Linked DNA regions of Saccharomyces cerevisiae S288C. Changing the gene in region 4 together with the main gene of any one other region gives a genetic interaction. Each region holds a gene or a part of one and is shown on either strand. Other genes may lie near its edges.

Region 1 (4,156 bases), on a different chromosome or scaffold from region 4:
CATAACGTATGAAAAATAGGTCCTGTAAAGCTCTGGTAAAATCTTACTGCTCTAAGCGATGCATGATATTCATGGCTAATTTGAAATCTTGCTCTAAAACCCTTTTTGCAAGAAGAATATCATGGCAAGACCGCAAAAAGAGAATAGCACCATTTGCAGTGTTCGAAAGTTGGTGGCTTTTTGTATGTTGCAGTTAAATGATGGTAGAACAGGTTTTTGCGGTGTCCCATGAGAGAAAAGGAAGGAAGACATTCATAGAACATCCATGGCGGCACCCTGCTAAAATATCTTCACCTTAGTATTCAGATTTTCCTACTTCCGTCATCATTCGCTCCAATGTAATAACACGTCCACGTTATCAATAAAGATGTTTTAAAAATTTTTGTGGGACTATTATTGTACTTAAATAAATATTAAGACTACGGAGTCGGGCTATTTTATAAGCTTTTTATAGGCATTGCCGGCAAGCGGAAGAAAATGAAAGTGGACATATTTCCTCAAAAGACAGATCGTCTGGTGTTAAAATACTAAAGTTATGTAGTAATATATGAATATTATTGGTGCGGCAAGGAACAAATATAAACCCCGCAAAATGCTTTCTTAAGTAAATTACAAAATATGATTTGTGAGTTGTGTGTGAATCAACCCTCAAAATTTGCTTTATCGTTCACTGTATCTTCATTTTTGATGTTTGAAGAACTAGACGAATTATCGCCGTTAATTTGGTTATAGGTGTCTTCTACTCTATCTTCACCAAAGTCCTCTTTTTCCATTTCGTCGTCATAAGAGCCCAATGCATTGGCATGATCTTCGACTTCTTGTAGGGATAACTTGGGCAAATGGTTAGCAACTCTCCATGGTTGAGTGCCATCCTCGTATGCTTTAGCAAAGATGATGTCGATTTCCTCCAAACTTCTTCCGGCGGTTTCAGGGTAGAAAAAGAAGATAACTGGAATGTATAAATAATTCATAACAGCAAAAAATAAGTAGCAACCCCAACCGGACTGTCCAATAAATATTGGGGTGAACATGACAACCGCAAAGTTACACAACCAATTAGTACATGTGGAGAAAGCGTTTGTTGATGCACGAACTTTCATTGATGCAATTTCTGGTGGGTATATCCATGGTAATGATAGCAAAGACAAACCAAAGAATGTAATGAACAAAAATAAGCCGACGGCAGCACCTCTTGCGTTTTCTTTATTTTCTTTGACCAAGCATGCAAATGTAATTGTGAATGAAACTGCTTGACCTGTGGCACCTAATAAAAACAGCTTACGTCTACCTAGCTTTTCAATTAGAAAAAATGAACCAATAGTAGATAAGGCGTAGATTGTTGCGAAGACCCCACCTATGATCATTGATAATCTATAGTCTAATTTAATTGTTTTGTTGAATAATACAGTAGAGTAGTATATGGCAGCGTTACAACCAGTAAATTGCTGGAAAAATTGCGTTGAAGCTGCAATCAAAGCCCTCTGAAGATTTTGGGACCTGCCTCTGGAGAACAAACTTGACAGTGAATGTTTCTCGTGTTTGGTCCTGTTAACAGCATCGTGAAGCATAGCAACTTCTGTTATAACTTCCTCATCATTTGGATCCGCGTCGTCTAGTGTTCCTACCAAGTAGCGAGCTTCTTCTGTTCGACTTTGAGAAATCAGCCAACGTGGCGATTCAGGTAGTTTAATCATGAAAGCAAGCAGGAAGAGAGCAAAAACGATTTGCATTGACACGGGGAATCTCCACTGAACAGAACTGTTGGTATAAGACAACCCAAAATCAATCCAATAAGCAATCATAGTACCAAAAGCAATTGTGGAACCTTCTAAATTGACCAGCAACCCTCTATTTTCAGCTTTTGACATTTCTGATTGCCAAACGGGAATAGTAGATGTATTCAACCCTGTTCCAACACCGGTGACGACTCTTCCGATGATAAACTGGCCTAATGCCCAGTAACCACGAAATGCGCATGTAGAAATAACGGCACCAATGATGGTTATTACGGAACCCATCAGGATTAATGGTTTTCTACCAATTCTTTCACCGCAGAACATAACGAATAGAGAACCTGCGAAACAACCTAATTCATAACAGGAGGTTGTAGCGCCCTGCACTACAGTTGCGTGTCTGTCATGATCGCCATTTTCTTTGGTTGCTGGAAATTCATAGTTGAACTGTTTACCAGTAATTAGACTTGCCATCAACCCTTGGTCGTATCCAAACAGGGAGAAGCCCGTCATAGATGCGATAGTGATGAAATACCGCAACTTCTTACCCGTAAGTCCCCAGTGACTGGTTCTGCTTATAAATTTGCCTTTGAAATTCGATAATTTTAAATCCTTCATGGTCTAAAACTTTCTATGTTCTATTTTTCTATTTTTTATTTATTCTAACTTGTATGCTAGAACACGTATACAAAATAATTATTCAAAATCAATAAAGGGCTTGTTTATATACTATGAGTGTGACTACTCCTGAACTGCAATTCTGACCCTCTAAGGCCAAGCAGCGTTGAAGGGGACAAAATTGAAGCTAAAACATCTCACTTAAGCTTTCTCAATTTCTCTATCTACTTCCTTTTTGTTACGAATGCCCCAATGAAAGCCCTATCAAAGGTGAACCAAAAGTGTTTCCCTTACCGGGATCTGCACTTTCTCAGATTACTACTATCGCGAAGCAGCCAAGCGCAATAGCTGCACCTGGCGAGGATTAACCAACCAAAAACGGTATATAGCCGAGAAACAGTGTACAACCATTATTTCTTTCTGACGTAGTGGATGGCTGGACACTTTCCGCTTATTTTAGTTTCATGCAACGAACAGAGCCGCTCGAACAGGCGACGTAGCGCCGAATACCCCGCGAAACGGAGATGCTACTCAAATGCAGGTAGCGGAGGCATCGCCGTGGGGTATGCGGTGGCCGAAAAAGGACAAAGTCGGACCCTTCATATCAGTTAAAATGACGCAAGTTGAGTCAAAGTGAGCCAAATGGGCCAAATGCGGTGGAATAGTGGGACAACGGCACTTATTTCGTCCGTACGTCCGTTATGGATGTGTATACTATTTCATGATTGGCTTACCTCAAAGAAAATGAAACGGATGGTGCCTCCTAGCCTTGGCAATGAGTATCAGTAGTGGTGTTCTGCAGCCCTTTAATTCTATCTTGGCCGCATTCCAGACATATCCCTTATAGTTATGACGTATATGATTGTGGGGCATTGTTTGCCAAGGAAAATGGAGTAAGTTGAATGAAGAATATGGATTAGTGGTTCTAGGTCGCTCGTAATATCAGACTGAAAGACATTATCTTTGCAAAGGTTGTAAAAGGAGTATTTCAGAATCATTGCTGATTCACACGCGAGACCACATTAGTAAATTTTCTACTCTCGGGCTGAATTCCTCGGCGAAGCTTTGCCTTGCCATTTTAGGTGAGAATACGTATTTGCGGTATCATATTGTTTTTCTTCTCTTCCTTAACTCATTTAGAAAGTTCGATAGTGAACAAAGCGCTACACAAATATTTGATCATGGCAAAGTTACCGCGCCAATCGCCCTGCGCATTGTAGTCGCCTGCTCCTTCAGTTCGTCCGCTGGTTGCGGAATATTTGAATGTCAGTTTTCAACATTGAAACATCAGATAATGTTGGTATCGTGTTTAAATGATGGACGCATCTACGTCACCTTAAGTGCGTTTTTGCCTGTGAGATTTTTATTTCATTGTGTCCACTTGCTATTGTCTGGTTGATATTCCGATGTTTGTCGAGTTTTTTTATTTGCTCTCTGCTTTCATTTTTCTGCACTTCTGGCACATGGTCTAGCCTTTCTTAGTCCAGAAGCAACTGTCACCATTGAATAACGTTGCACTTCAACCTGTCCGTTTATCCAACTGTTTATATCGGTAGAAATAAGGGTATAAGAATAAATTGGCTGGTCAATTGATCGATGAAATTATCGAGCTTTTTTTTTTACTGCATGATCCCTGTCTTCTGAGGCTGTGTAACTTTTTTACTGCCTAAGAACTCTCGGACCCTTCTTTGGTGTTGCCTCAGAAATAGTATGGTGTATTAGCACCATAATAAAAATTTTTACAAAAGCCACTATTATCCTCACTCACCGATGAATGAACATATATGACCTCCAAGATATTCGAT
Region 2 (4,222 bases), on a different chromosome or scaffold from region 4:
GAAGCCACGCAAGTAACTACGTAGGTCAGAGGGCACAAGGAATAACACGTGACATTTTTCTTTTTTCTTTTTTTTTTTTTTTTTTTTTTTTGTTAGTCTTGGCTTCTGTGCCGTAGTCTGTATACGGTTTTAGATGCGGTATGTTTATCATCGCCCAGAAATTTGCGGGGTGCAAAGAAATAAAATCCGTGCTGAAACCCGTGCTGAAATCCGTGCACCGCATCAAATTTTCTCGGAGGATTCTTTGCGCCGGTTTTCATTTTCTTCCACGGAATACCAAGCCCATTGCATCGCGATGTTAGTTTAGCGGAGTTTCTTGGCATTGGCAAATCTCTGCTAAATGCTGCGTACAGACGGAAACTCACACCGCCGCGAAGACTGGTCAGTGGCAAAAAAAAAATAAAAATATAGAAAATAACTATTACGTATGTTACTGTTTCTGGTAGTTGATATGAAGTTGGAGTTGTATATTGTACGCTTTAGGAACAGGGAAGTGAATATTATTTACTCTGCTGCACATTCTGGCTAGGTCGAAGCCGGAACTTGAGAAGACGCCGCGCTAGAACTATGGACCAAGCTGTTGACAATGTTCAGATGGTGATGCACTACCCTGTGCGGGGAGTGGCCACGGACGCGAGCGGAAGGTGCGGAAGGTGCGGAAGGTGCGGGAGTTGCGGGAGGTTCTTCGCTAAGCGTGAGGGTTGCTAGCTGGGGCGGCGGGGTTTCCCTAAGTGTAAATAAGGCCTCGGCTGGCACATGAGTCGCCGGAGGAGGCGGCGGAGGCGACGACGCTAAAACCGTGGCCGTTGGGGAAGGATGGGCGGCTATATCTACCATTGACCTGATGGGGACTCGGTTCTTAAGGAATGGGTTTGAGGTGGGTGTGGTTGCAGCAACATCTGTAGCGATATGGAAACCCCGCGGATTCTCGTACGTAGTGGTTTTGATAATAGGTTTCTTACACACATATTTGTCGTTGGCATCAACACAAGTCTCAATTCCTTGGAACCATGGGTCTTCGAAGAGGTCGTCGATGGTGTAGCGGGTGGCGGCTTCTGGGTCAGCGAGCCGCCATGCCACGCGAGATGCATGTCCGTTCTTGAAATTTCTAGCCAAGTGATACTCCATTCCCGGCCCCGGGCGGTAATTGCCGCGATTGCGGAATGCGCGATCGTGAAGACGGATAAAGTTTTCATAAGCGTCACAGTAATCGCGGAAACCAGTGTCGAAGCTGCAGGATTCCAAAAATGGAATGACGTTGTTGACGAGGGTCATGAGGATAATACCCAGGCCATAACAGTCTAGAGCGCGTGGGTCATACGGCTGTTGCAATTCCGTATCGTAGTGCTTCTTGGAGTCGTAGAACATGACCTCCGGGGGAGCATACGGCGGCGAGCCGATCATCCCTGCGCACTTCTTGACAGGGCTGGACAGGTCGTGTGGATCCGTGTGGTACCAGTCTGAGATACCAAAATCTGTCAGCTTGCACACGCCGTCCGGGGATAGCAGTACATTTTCCGGTTTCAAATCACGGTGGGCGATGCCCTGATCGTGGCAAAACTTGACACCACACGCCACCTGTTTGAATATACAAAACTTTTCTGCTAGGGCCACGCTGCGCCAGCCCGATTTTTGTATCATCGCGAACAAATCTCGTAGACCTAGCTCCATGACGAACCCCCACCCGCGAGTGGTGTAGACGGTGGTGGGCACCTTGACTAGAAGGAAAGTATTTGTGATGTGAACATGATGACTTAGCTGCTTTGCGATGATAAACTCCTTTGAGCAGCGCTTGTAGAATTTCTCGGGCGTTTCATTATAGATCATATTGAGCTTCTTTAGAGCAAATACGTCCTTCTTGCGGTACTTGGAGCGGATCTTGCGCACTTCGCACGAACCGCCCCATCCGATGGTCTTATTCTCATCATCAAAGACGAAGTTATCGCTCAACTGGATGCTTGCCTCCTTCATCTCGTCGGGCAGATACTCGTTTGGGTCCACAATTGGGATCGGCAGCATGCGGATTTTGGAATCCCCATCGTGAAGGTAGAAGCCCAGATCAGGGTCTTTCTTCATGGAGGTAGAGACGGACGAGAGTGACGTGCTTGGGGTTGAGACGCCGTATGGATTGTACACTAATCGTTCGCTACTGAACTTGGAGTTTGAGAGATTACGCGAAGTGGACGAATGTCTGTTTCCTCTTGAGATGGACGTGCTGGAGCCGGCCGGAGGTAGGATCTTGGTTGAGGCGGAAGATAAAGATCTCTTGCTGTTGGTTGTGTGAGCGAAAGAGTTTGCACGGCGAGAGGTTTTCAACGAATTCGGCAGTTTTGGGCTGGAGGATTCGCTGTCATTAGTACTTGTAGAGTGGAAGTCTGGAGGTAGAGACGCCTTTTTCTTCAACTTGTTCCCATGGCTTGAACTTAACAGCTTCTTTCCGAAGAACTTAAATGCTGATACCGAGGAGATTGGTTGTTGGGATATCTTCGTAGAATGATTGTGTGAGACTGTCATTGGTTGGTGGTGCGATTTAATGCGTATGCTTGCCTGTGGCGTTAAAATGGTCTATACGTTTATGCTAATATTTCTTGATGTAATGCAGGGCCTATGAATACATGGAGGTTTGTTGCCGGTGGTATACGGTTGAAAAAAAAAAGAAATAGATATATATATATTTCTTCTTTGTATAGACTTCTGCGAGAAAAAGAAAAGATAAGGAAAAATGAAAAAAAAAGCGTATAGGTGCTAAGAAGAATTAAGTATCAAAAGGTAGCAGGCATTTATGTTATATATGCAACTTCGGATTTCGTTCAATACATCTTGACCGGTCTCCACTGTTACTGGCATATTTCTCGGGTTTTTCCTTTTCACCACAAGGGAAAAAAAATGCGTTATGTAATTTCACCAATATTTTTCCCGTCCTGCGTGCTCGCACAATACAATAGGGTCATGTCACGTAATAAGCAACGTGCGCCGCATTTTTTGCCCTTTAAAGGGAAACGCGCTTTGTTCTTTTCTTCTTCCTTTTCACATAAGGGAGAGTCGGCTACCAATGTCGATGGAATTCTCACCATTGGGCATCTCACCGTTCCTATCCTTCTGGAACCTATCGTAAATCCCCCTTAATTTGACCAACTCACTTGTTGAAATACTAGGTTTTGTCTCTTGACAGGCTTCCAATAAATCGTTTATTGTGACCACAGCTGTCAGCTCAGAAGCAGCTGAAGTGCTTGTCTTTGTCTCGTGCACCACATCTTGCTGCAATAGAGTCTTTAGCCGTAGTCTATTTTCTTCTCTACGCCCGTGCTCATTGATACTGAAGTATTCTATATTATCATTGCCGGGTACCACTTCCGATTGGTCTGCAGCAGACAGCCACCTATGTACAGATTTCAAATAAGCATTGTAGCAGAGCCCCTGTAAATCAGCACCCGAAAAACCAGCTGTCTTTTCAGCGATCAACTTCAAGTCTGCATTTTTCTCCAATGCAAATTTTTTTTGTCCCGTATCCTTGTCTTTTGAATTGACGATAGCTTGCAAGATATCTAACCTCTCTGATTCAGTCGGTATATTACAGATCACACTTTTGTCTAATCTTCCCGGTCTTAACAATGCGCTATCAATCAAATCAGGTCTACTTGTAGCTGCTAGTATATATACACCATCAAGGCCCTCGGCACCATCCATTTGGGTCAATAATTGATTGACTACACGGTCTGTGACACCAGTGGAGTCATGCCCTCTCTTTGGCGCAATAGAATCGAACTCGTCAAAAAATAGAATACAGGGTTTGACGGACTGTGCCCTTTCAAACAATTCTCTTATGTTTTGTTCGCTGGCACCTATAAACTTGTTTAAAATCTCTGGTCCCTTAACGGAGATAAAGTTTAACCCACATTGTTGTGCCACGGCGCTCGCCAGAAGCGTTTTACCACAACCAGGATAACCGTAAAGCAAGATTCCTGATCTCAATCTTAGGGGACAATTAACGAAAATAGGCTCATATTTTGTGGGCCACTCTAAGGTTTCTAGAAGGACATCTTTGGCATTTGCTAAAGCACCAATATCCCCCCATTTGATGTTCGTTTCTTTTGTTAGCTTTACTCCACGCAACGCAGATGGTGTAAACGCACTAAGCGACTTCGAAAAAAGTTCCCTTGTTACAACATTATCACAATCTCTTTCCAACTGCAAGTCGTAGAAAATCTTTTCTGTGAATATT
Region 3 (3,131 bases), on a different chromosome or scaffold from region 4:
GGGAGAATTACATGCTTGTTGCTGTTAAGTTGAATGAGTGGGAGGATGTCTTAACTGCATGTAAACAATTAGTCAGTATTAGGAGGGACAAATCTGGCGAAGGTTCCATCGACTTACCAATTATTGAAAAACTAGTAGAACTATTAGTGACTAGTGAATATCCAGAGGAGCCGCAGCAATTATCTTATTTTCAAAAGAGCTGTACTGAGTTTATCTGTAACACTTTACCTCAGGTAATTACAACCAGTGCAAGATGTTGGCGACTGGTCGCAAGAGTAGAACTTTGGAGGAAGAGACCATGGGCCGCCCTAGAATGCCACGAGAAGGCTTATAGGGCCATTTCTCACAATCCTGATTTAGAAGTTGAAGAAAAGGTTTGGAATGATACAGTGGATGCTTGTGAAGATTTGGTGGCTGCCTATGAATCACTTGGTGAAATGGAAGGTAAATATGGGCCAGGCAGTCTGGTTTGCAAAGACTGGAAATACAAATGTAGATCTACTATCAAAGCTCTAATGAGTAAAGGCAAAGGCAGATGGGATGACTCTCCTGGTTGGGATAGGCTAGTGGAAGCAAGAAGCCAAATATGAAGAGCACCTTTCATGTATAATCTGTGTATATTACGTAATGTTTGTATAAATAGATACATATGGACATGAATCAAGCATATCTAATAGAAGTTTTTATATTTTATCTCCTTGGCTGGGTGGTCTCATCTGTGAAAGGAGAGCCTCAATTATGTTGAGCTTGTTTAAAACTTTACACTCAAAATCTTCTTGCCTTTTCTTTATCACCTCGAGTTCGTTGTGAAGATAATCTAGACATATTTCCAATTCCATATTAGAGTCCGACCACGATTGCTCAGCAGCCATTTGTGGAGGCAGTACTGTCTCGCTGAACCTATTTGTACCCTTGTTTATCTTAGGGCTTTTGATGACTTTCCCGACGTCGTTATCCTTAGACAGAATCATGGGGATTGTGTGAAGAGTAGGCGGAATTCCAATCGTTATTGAATCCAGGGGCAGCGGTTGTGAGCCTGAATGCTCATCGTCGGAGCTGTGGTTATTCGGATGTTCAGCGGATGATAATTGTTGAAACGGATCAGGCCCCGGATGACTTTTAATGAAAGAAGATGATGATAAGGATGAAGATGATTCATTTCCGAATTTAGTTCTTGGTCTTGGATGTTCTGGTGCTTCGTCCAAGAGTGCTCCCATCAGCTTCAACTGGGAAGGAGAGAATTGGGCTCGATCTGCGCTGAAGAGGTCCTTCAGTCGACGAAATTTGGTTTTTAACGTCCTTGATTGTCTATATCTTGACCCAGTCTGTCTGTTGTACTCATCGAGCACCCTTTGCCAGCTATCTTGTCTGTAGGCATATGGTTTCAGATGAGGTTTGTGCCGTATCAGTAGTCGTAGAAGCAGCTCCACAGGATCCACCGATTCATCCATTATGGTTGGCTCCGCCTAAACCTTTCAAAGTATCGTTAAACCATGTTGTTATCAATGGTTCAACTCACCCGAATGGAAATAACGCTTATTTTGACGCCGTAATCGAAGGATGTGAAGAACTTATCAAGACTTGAAAATAGAGAACAAAAGAGATTTAAGAATAACTATGTGGAGACTAACCAGAAAAATCGGCACTAGAATCCATATTTCTAATCAGCTGTCGCCCATTTTTAACAAGGCAATTGGAACAGTTCCTGTTTTTCGTTTTTATTCTTCCAGCCCAGAGCAGAAGTATAGAAAGAAACTTTTGGAAGAGGCTCAAAAACAAGGTTTTAACAGCATAGAAGAGTTGAAAAATCATTTGAAAGAGACTATAGAGTCTAAGAAGCGGGAATTTAATAAAATCGACCCCCTGAAAGAACTAGAGGATTACCAACAAAAAACTCAAATGGAAAATAACAACTCCAAGCATTTGATGACGAAATCAAGAAGTCCTCTCGATCCAAGTGCTCCTAAAGTTCCCTTCAAAACATTGGACTCTTTTTTGGATGTTGGAAAACTGAAGGACTTATCGAAACAGGAAGTAGAGTTTCTTTGGAGAGCAAGATGGGCACAAAAAGATAATACATTATGCGCTGTGATTCCTGTCTCCGTTTATGATAAGATGATGGCAAATGCCAGGAATAACCCTATATTCGTGTTGCCACTTCCTAGACAAGTTCAATCTGAGGATGCAAAACCGAACGAAGAACAGGGAATGGAACTACACTACATCCAATGGCAGTTTGTCGGACCCCAAACAACACATTGTATGATGACTTCCCTAGCAGAATACAAACTACACCAGGAATTTGCAAGGCCACATACTACCTTGCAGTTCCATTCTGATTTGGTCAAGGATAAGGGAATTGTTTTTATGAATGGCCATGTTGAACCGGATACAAACGTGAATGTACAGGATGCACAGCTGTTATTGCTAAACGTGCAAAGGTTTTATGGTGCAATGGGTGAAGAAACTCCAGTTGCTAAACAGAGAGTGCAGTTGTTAAGAGATTTCTCTAAGGCCTCTCCGGGATTCACCGTCGAGAAATTGATTTCGCTATCACAGTCCATGGAAAATTAACGAAGAATTACTTCCGTATACGTATATATATATATATATATATATTAATGACACCTGTAAATAAAATACGTACTACATCATCTGCGACAAGCGTACAGTTTCTTTACACAGTTATCAGCATGACTCTTGTATTTTCATAATGAAAAATGAAAATAAAAATTTTAGTAGATGAATATAATACGCAGAAAGAACAGGCTAAAAAAGTACGAAAAGCAACTTCATTATATTTCCGCATTCATCCTTCAATTATGGCCAGCAAGACTTTGAGGGTTCTTTTTCTGGGTCCCAAAGGTACGTATTCCCATCAAGCTGCATTACAACAATTTCAATCAACATCTGATGTTGAGTACCTCCCAGCAGCCTCTATCCCCCAATGTTTTAACCAATTGGAGAACGACACTAGTATAGATTATTCAGTGGTACCGTTGGAAAATTCCACCAATGGACAAGTAGTTTTTTCCTATGATCTCTTGCGTGATAGGATGATCAAAAAAGCCCTATCCTTACCTGCTCCAGCAGATACTAATAGAATTACACCAGATATAGAAGTTATAGCG
Region 4 (3,438 bases):
CTCCAAAGAAGGGAAACTACTCAGATTTGTTTTCTTCAGTTTAACAGGCGTATCTTCTGCAAATCTACTACGTTTCCTACCGAAGACTTCGCTCTACGAGAATTCTTAGGTTTCTACGAGTTACGCGCCCTTCTTCGAACGCCATTCTCAGGAAAAATTGCATTTACGTAATCTTTTGTTCTAATTGATATAATGGCTATTTATACGTAATATCATGCTTAAGAACCAAGAAAGCCAATAATGGCATTCGGAGGAAGCAATCAGTGAGGAAAATTGTTGATTAAGCTAGATATTTCTATATCTAGTAGATCTTGTCAAGTTGAAGTAGCGAATAGGACTCCTGTATTGCTATTGTGATGTTTTTTTATTGTACAGTAGTTGTATAACTTATCGTTGGTATTAACTACCGTTTGTTTATACATCATGCTCATTATCTCGTCCTGACTAATGTGAAAGGATCGATATATACATTGAAGGGTCGACGTCCCCTTTTATTAGCTCCTACAAAGATAGCACTGGCATATATTTTTTAATGTCTTGGTATATATTATATAGCAACTATACTCGATGTCATAAAGAGGAATACTATCTTTGGTGGTTGTCTAACTCTGAGCAATGCTAAGGCCCTTACCATTCTAAAACAACCATTTTTTTCTTCCCCTTCCCAGTTATACCTTTTTTGACTAGTTCTAGTAACTGTTCGTCAGTAGTAGTGTTAGTATTCCAGGTAAGAGTTTCAATTTCATCTCTTGGTGAAATAATGTGACCATAATTATACATTTTGATAAAATCACTGATGGTGTCAATCTTGCTTTGGGGGTTTTTTTTGTTCTTTTCAGTCACCCAGTACCCTTTGGATGTCAAGCCTTTGAAAATGTGTAGAGATGTTGGTAAAGTTACAGGTTGTTTTGACATTCCTCCATAAGTGAGCATCAAAGCATTATTTTCCAACTTACGTGCTATTGATGCACTGGATTTACCTCCAACAGAATTCAAGGCAAGCCTCACCCTTGCATTTTCACCCAAAATCTTGGACAATACTTCTTTGGCAAAAGTCTTGTCGTTGTTTTGCGATTCGGAAATAACCTTCGTAGCACCATACTTATCCTCCAAAACTTTTGCTACCTCATCAAAATTATCACGGTCACGTATAACACTTAATGTTTTGATCCCTTTAGCTTTTGCTACTTGCGTAACTATTTTTGATACACTAGATGTACCGGCATTTTGGATAATCCATTCATTACCGTTACTGTTCCAGTCGATATAGTCTGATACTAATTGGAAACCGGTACAACCATTAACAGATACAGTTGCCGCAGAAAACAGATCCAAATCATTTACCTTGATTAAATCAGAACTACTAGAGAAAACTCTATAATTGGACCAAGTCCCTTGATTTGCCTGCAATGGGATAACTCGGTCACCCAATTTCAAATCTCCCTTGGAACTTCCCGAAGGTAAAGAAACAACTTCAAAGACACCCTCATTACCGGCGATAGCGGCTGGCTCATCTGTGGAGTAATCGTATGTCTTTTCTGGACGAGACGGGTATACTCCTTGCAACTGATTGATATCCGAAGGGTTTATGGGAAAGGCCAAAGTTTTTAACACAATTGATTGAGATAAGTCTTGTTTAGGCGTATAATTTTTCACTGACAAAACCTTGGTACAATCCTCAACTTCATGAGTTGAATAGATGAGCGATTTGAAGTGCTTGGGAATCTGATGAGCTGAGGACGACATGTAACGTTTGAATGTGGGAAGCATCTTGTTATATCAAATGTAATTGGCAGATTATGAACCTTCTTAAATGACAATGTACGTTTGTAATCTCCAATTTCTTTAGCCATGGAAACAACCCCTGGGTACACCACTCGTGCGTCCCTTGGAGGAGAACCACTCTTTTAAGGTAAAAAAAAAAGCACCGGCGGGGTCCAATAATGATAATAATACCATAAATAAGGAAGATGGTATCACCGATTGGTCCAGAAGTATTATCCATACAGTTGTTTTTAATATTATTACATACATTATATATTAAAAATGTGTTTCGTAACCCTAAAGCAAAACAAAGTATATACAGTGACACAGATCCTTTAAACATCAAAAAAACAAAAAAAAGTAAGTCAGTGCAGATCCGAGCCTTCTCTCTTAATCTATCTAACTTTTAATTCAAAAGTACTTCTCCAAATAGCTACCACTTGCTTTATAACTAAATCCCTTGAACATATCCGGGGACTTGCTCACCGAATTGATATTAATCGGCTTGCTATCCGTATAGGTTTCCTCATATGACATAGAAGTAAATTCTGTGTCAAAATTTTCCGCTAGTTCCAAATCCGTAATAACTGGAACAATTGGGCCTAGAGTGGTTTTTTGCAATTGTCCAGATTCTAATAACTTCCAGTCTATTTTTCTAAAGATAAAATGTTCAGTGAAAAGACTAGTTCTTGCAGCCCCTGATTTCTTCTTCTTAGACTTAGTAGGCTTATTATTAGCCCCGGTTTTGGCCCAGTATTTGTCAACATTCCACCTTTTGGCAGTTTCCTTCTTCAACAGCGCGTTTAATATATCTTTCATTCCCTCGCTCAGATAAAATGGAATTTTGGGGCCTTGCTTGTTTTGTTGAATCTTATTAATGATCACCTTATGATTGCTACCAGTATATGGAGGCTTACCTACTAACATGTCATACAACAGACATCCCAAAGAATACCAATCACAATTCTGACTGTAAGCTTTACCTAATAATATTTCAGGCGCACAGTATTCAGGCGTACCGATAATCGAGTATAGGGCATTGACGTTCTCTGGATCCTCCTCATCAACCGCGGAATCATTAGCACTTTTTTTACTCAGACCAAAATCTGTCAATACTAAATGTCCACGTTGATTCAATAAACAGTTTTCAGGTTTTAAATCTCTATAGACAACACCTTTCGTATGCAAAAATCTCAAGGCACAGCTGATTTCTGCCGCGTAAAACGAAACTGTCGTCTCATCTAGGGTCCCGTGTTCCTTCAAGTGGTAAAATAGTTCACCGCCAGGGATATATTGTAGCAGTAAATATAACTTTGAGTTATCGTGAAAAGAATAAAATAACTTGACAATGTTTGGATGTTCTATTTCAGATAGAATAGACCGTTCGGCAAATGTTCTCTCAAGCCTCTTTGATAATCCATCGTCATTATCGTTGTTATTACCATCATTTTTATCTTCGTCTTCTCTCTTGGAATCTGTGGCTGTTTGAGAAATTAAAATTTCTGCTTTCCGTAATTGCTTCATAGCATACAGCTTGGATGTATTGACGTCCTTAACAAGAAGAACTTTACCGTAGGCACCTTGGCCTAGGACTCTCACGGGCTTAAAATCGTGCAGGTTCCTTGATAATTCATTTTCTCCAATATTAGAGGAAATAATGTCCTGAGGTGTTAT

What was found.
Region 1: mutations in ETR1 (region 4) and STL1 together harm fitness more than expected from each alone (negative genetic interaction), as found in Saccharomyces cerevisiae (2 studies listed by BioGRID).
Region 2: mutations in ETR1 (region 4) and PTK1 together harm fitness less than expected from each alone (positive genetic interaction), as found in Saccharomyces cerevisiae (2 studies listed by BioGRID).
Region 3: mutations in ETR1 (region 4) and ATP11 together harm fitness more than expected from each alone (negative genetic interaction), as found in Saccharomyces cerevisiae (2 studies listed by BioGRID).

Annotation. Positions count from the first base shown.
Region 1 is NC_001136.10:1,506,200-1,510,355, reverse strand, and holds STL1 (glucose-inactivated glycerol proton symporter STL1), read right to left. Parts: upstream 2,352-4,156; coding exon 642-2,351; downstream 1-641.
Region 2 is NC_001143.9:67,707-71,928, forward strand, and holds PTK1 (putative serine/threonine protein kinase PTK1), read right to left. Parts: upstream 2,515-4,222; coding exon 526-2,514; downstream 1-525. Other genes in the region: PEX1 (AAA family ATPase peroxin 1), read right to left, coding at 3,028-4,222. UniProt on the Saccharomyces cerevisiae protein: Essential determinant for low-affinity spermidine transport.
Region 3 is NC_001146.8:42,767-45,897, reverse strand, and holds ATP11 (Atp11p), read left to right. Parts: upstream 1-1,617; coding exon 1,618-2,574; downstream 2,575-3,131. Other genes in the region: tetratricopeptide repeat-containing protein EMW1, read left to right, coding at 1-590; DAL82 (Dal82p), read right to left, coding at 684-1,451; prephenate dehydratase PHA2, read left to right, coding at 2,823-3,131.
Region 4 is NC_001134.8:292,250-295,687, forward strand, and holds ETR1 (enoyl-[acyl-carrier-protein] reductase), read right to left. Parts: upstream 1,771-3,438; coding exon 628-1,770; downstream 1-627. Other genes in the region: YBR027C (uncharacterized protein), read right to left, coding at 1,775-2,107; putative protein kinase YPK3, read right to left, coding at 2,176-3,438. UniProt on the Saccharomyces cerevisiae protein: Catalyzes the NADPH-dependent reduction of trans-2-enoyl thioesters in mitochondrial fatty acid synthesis (fatty acid synthesis type II).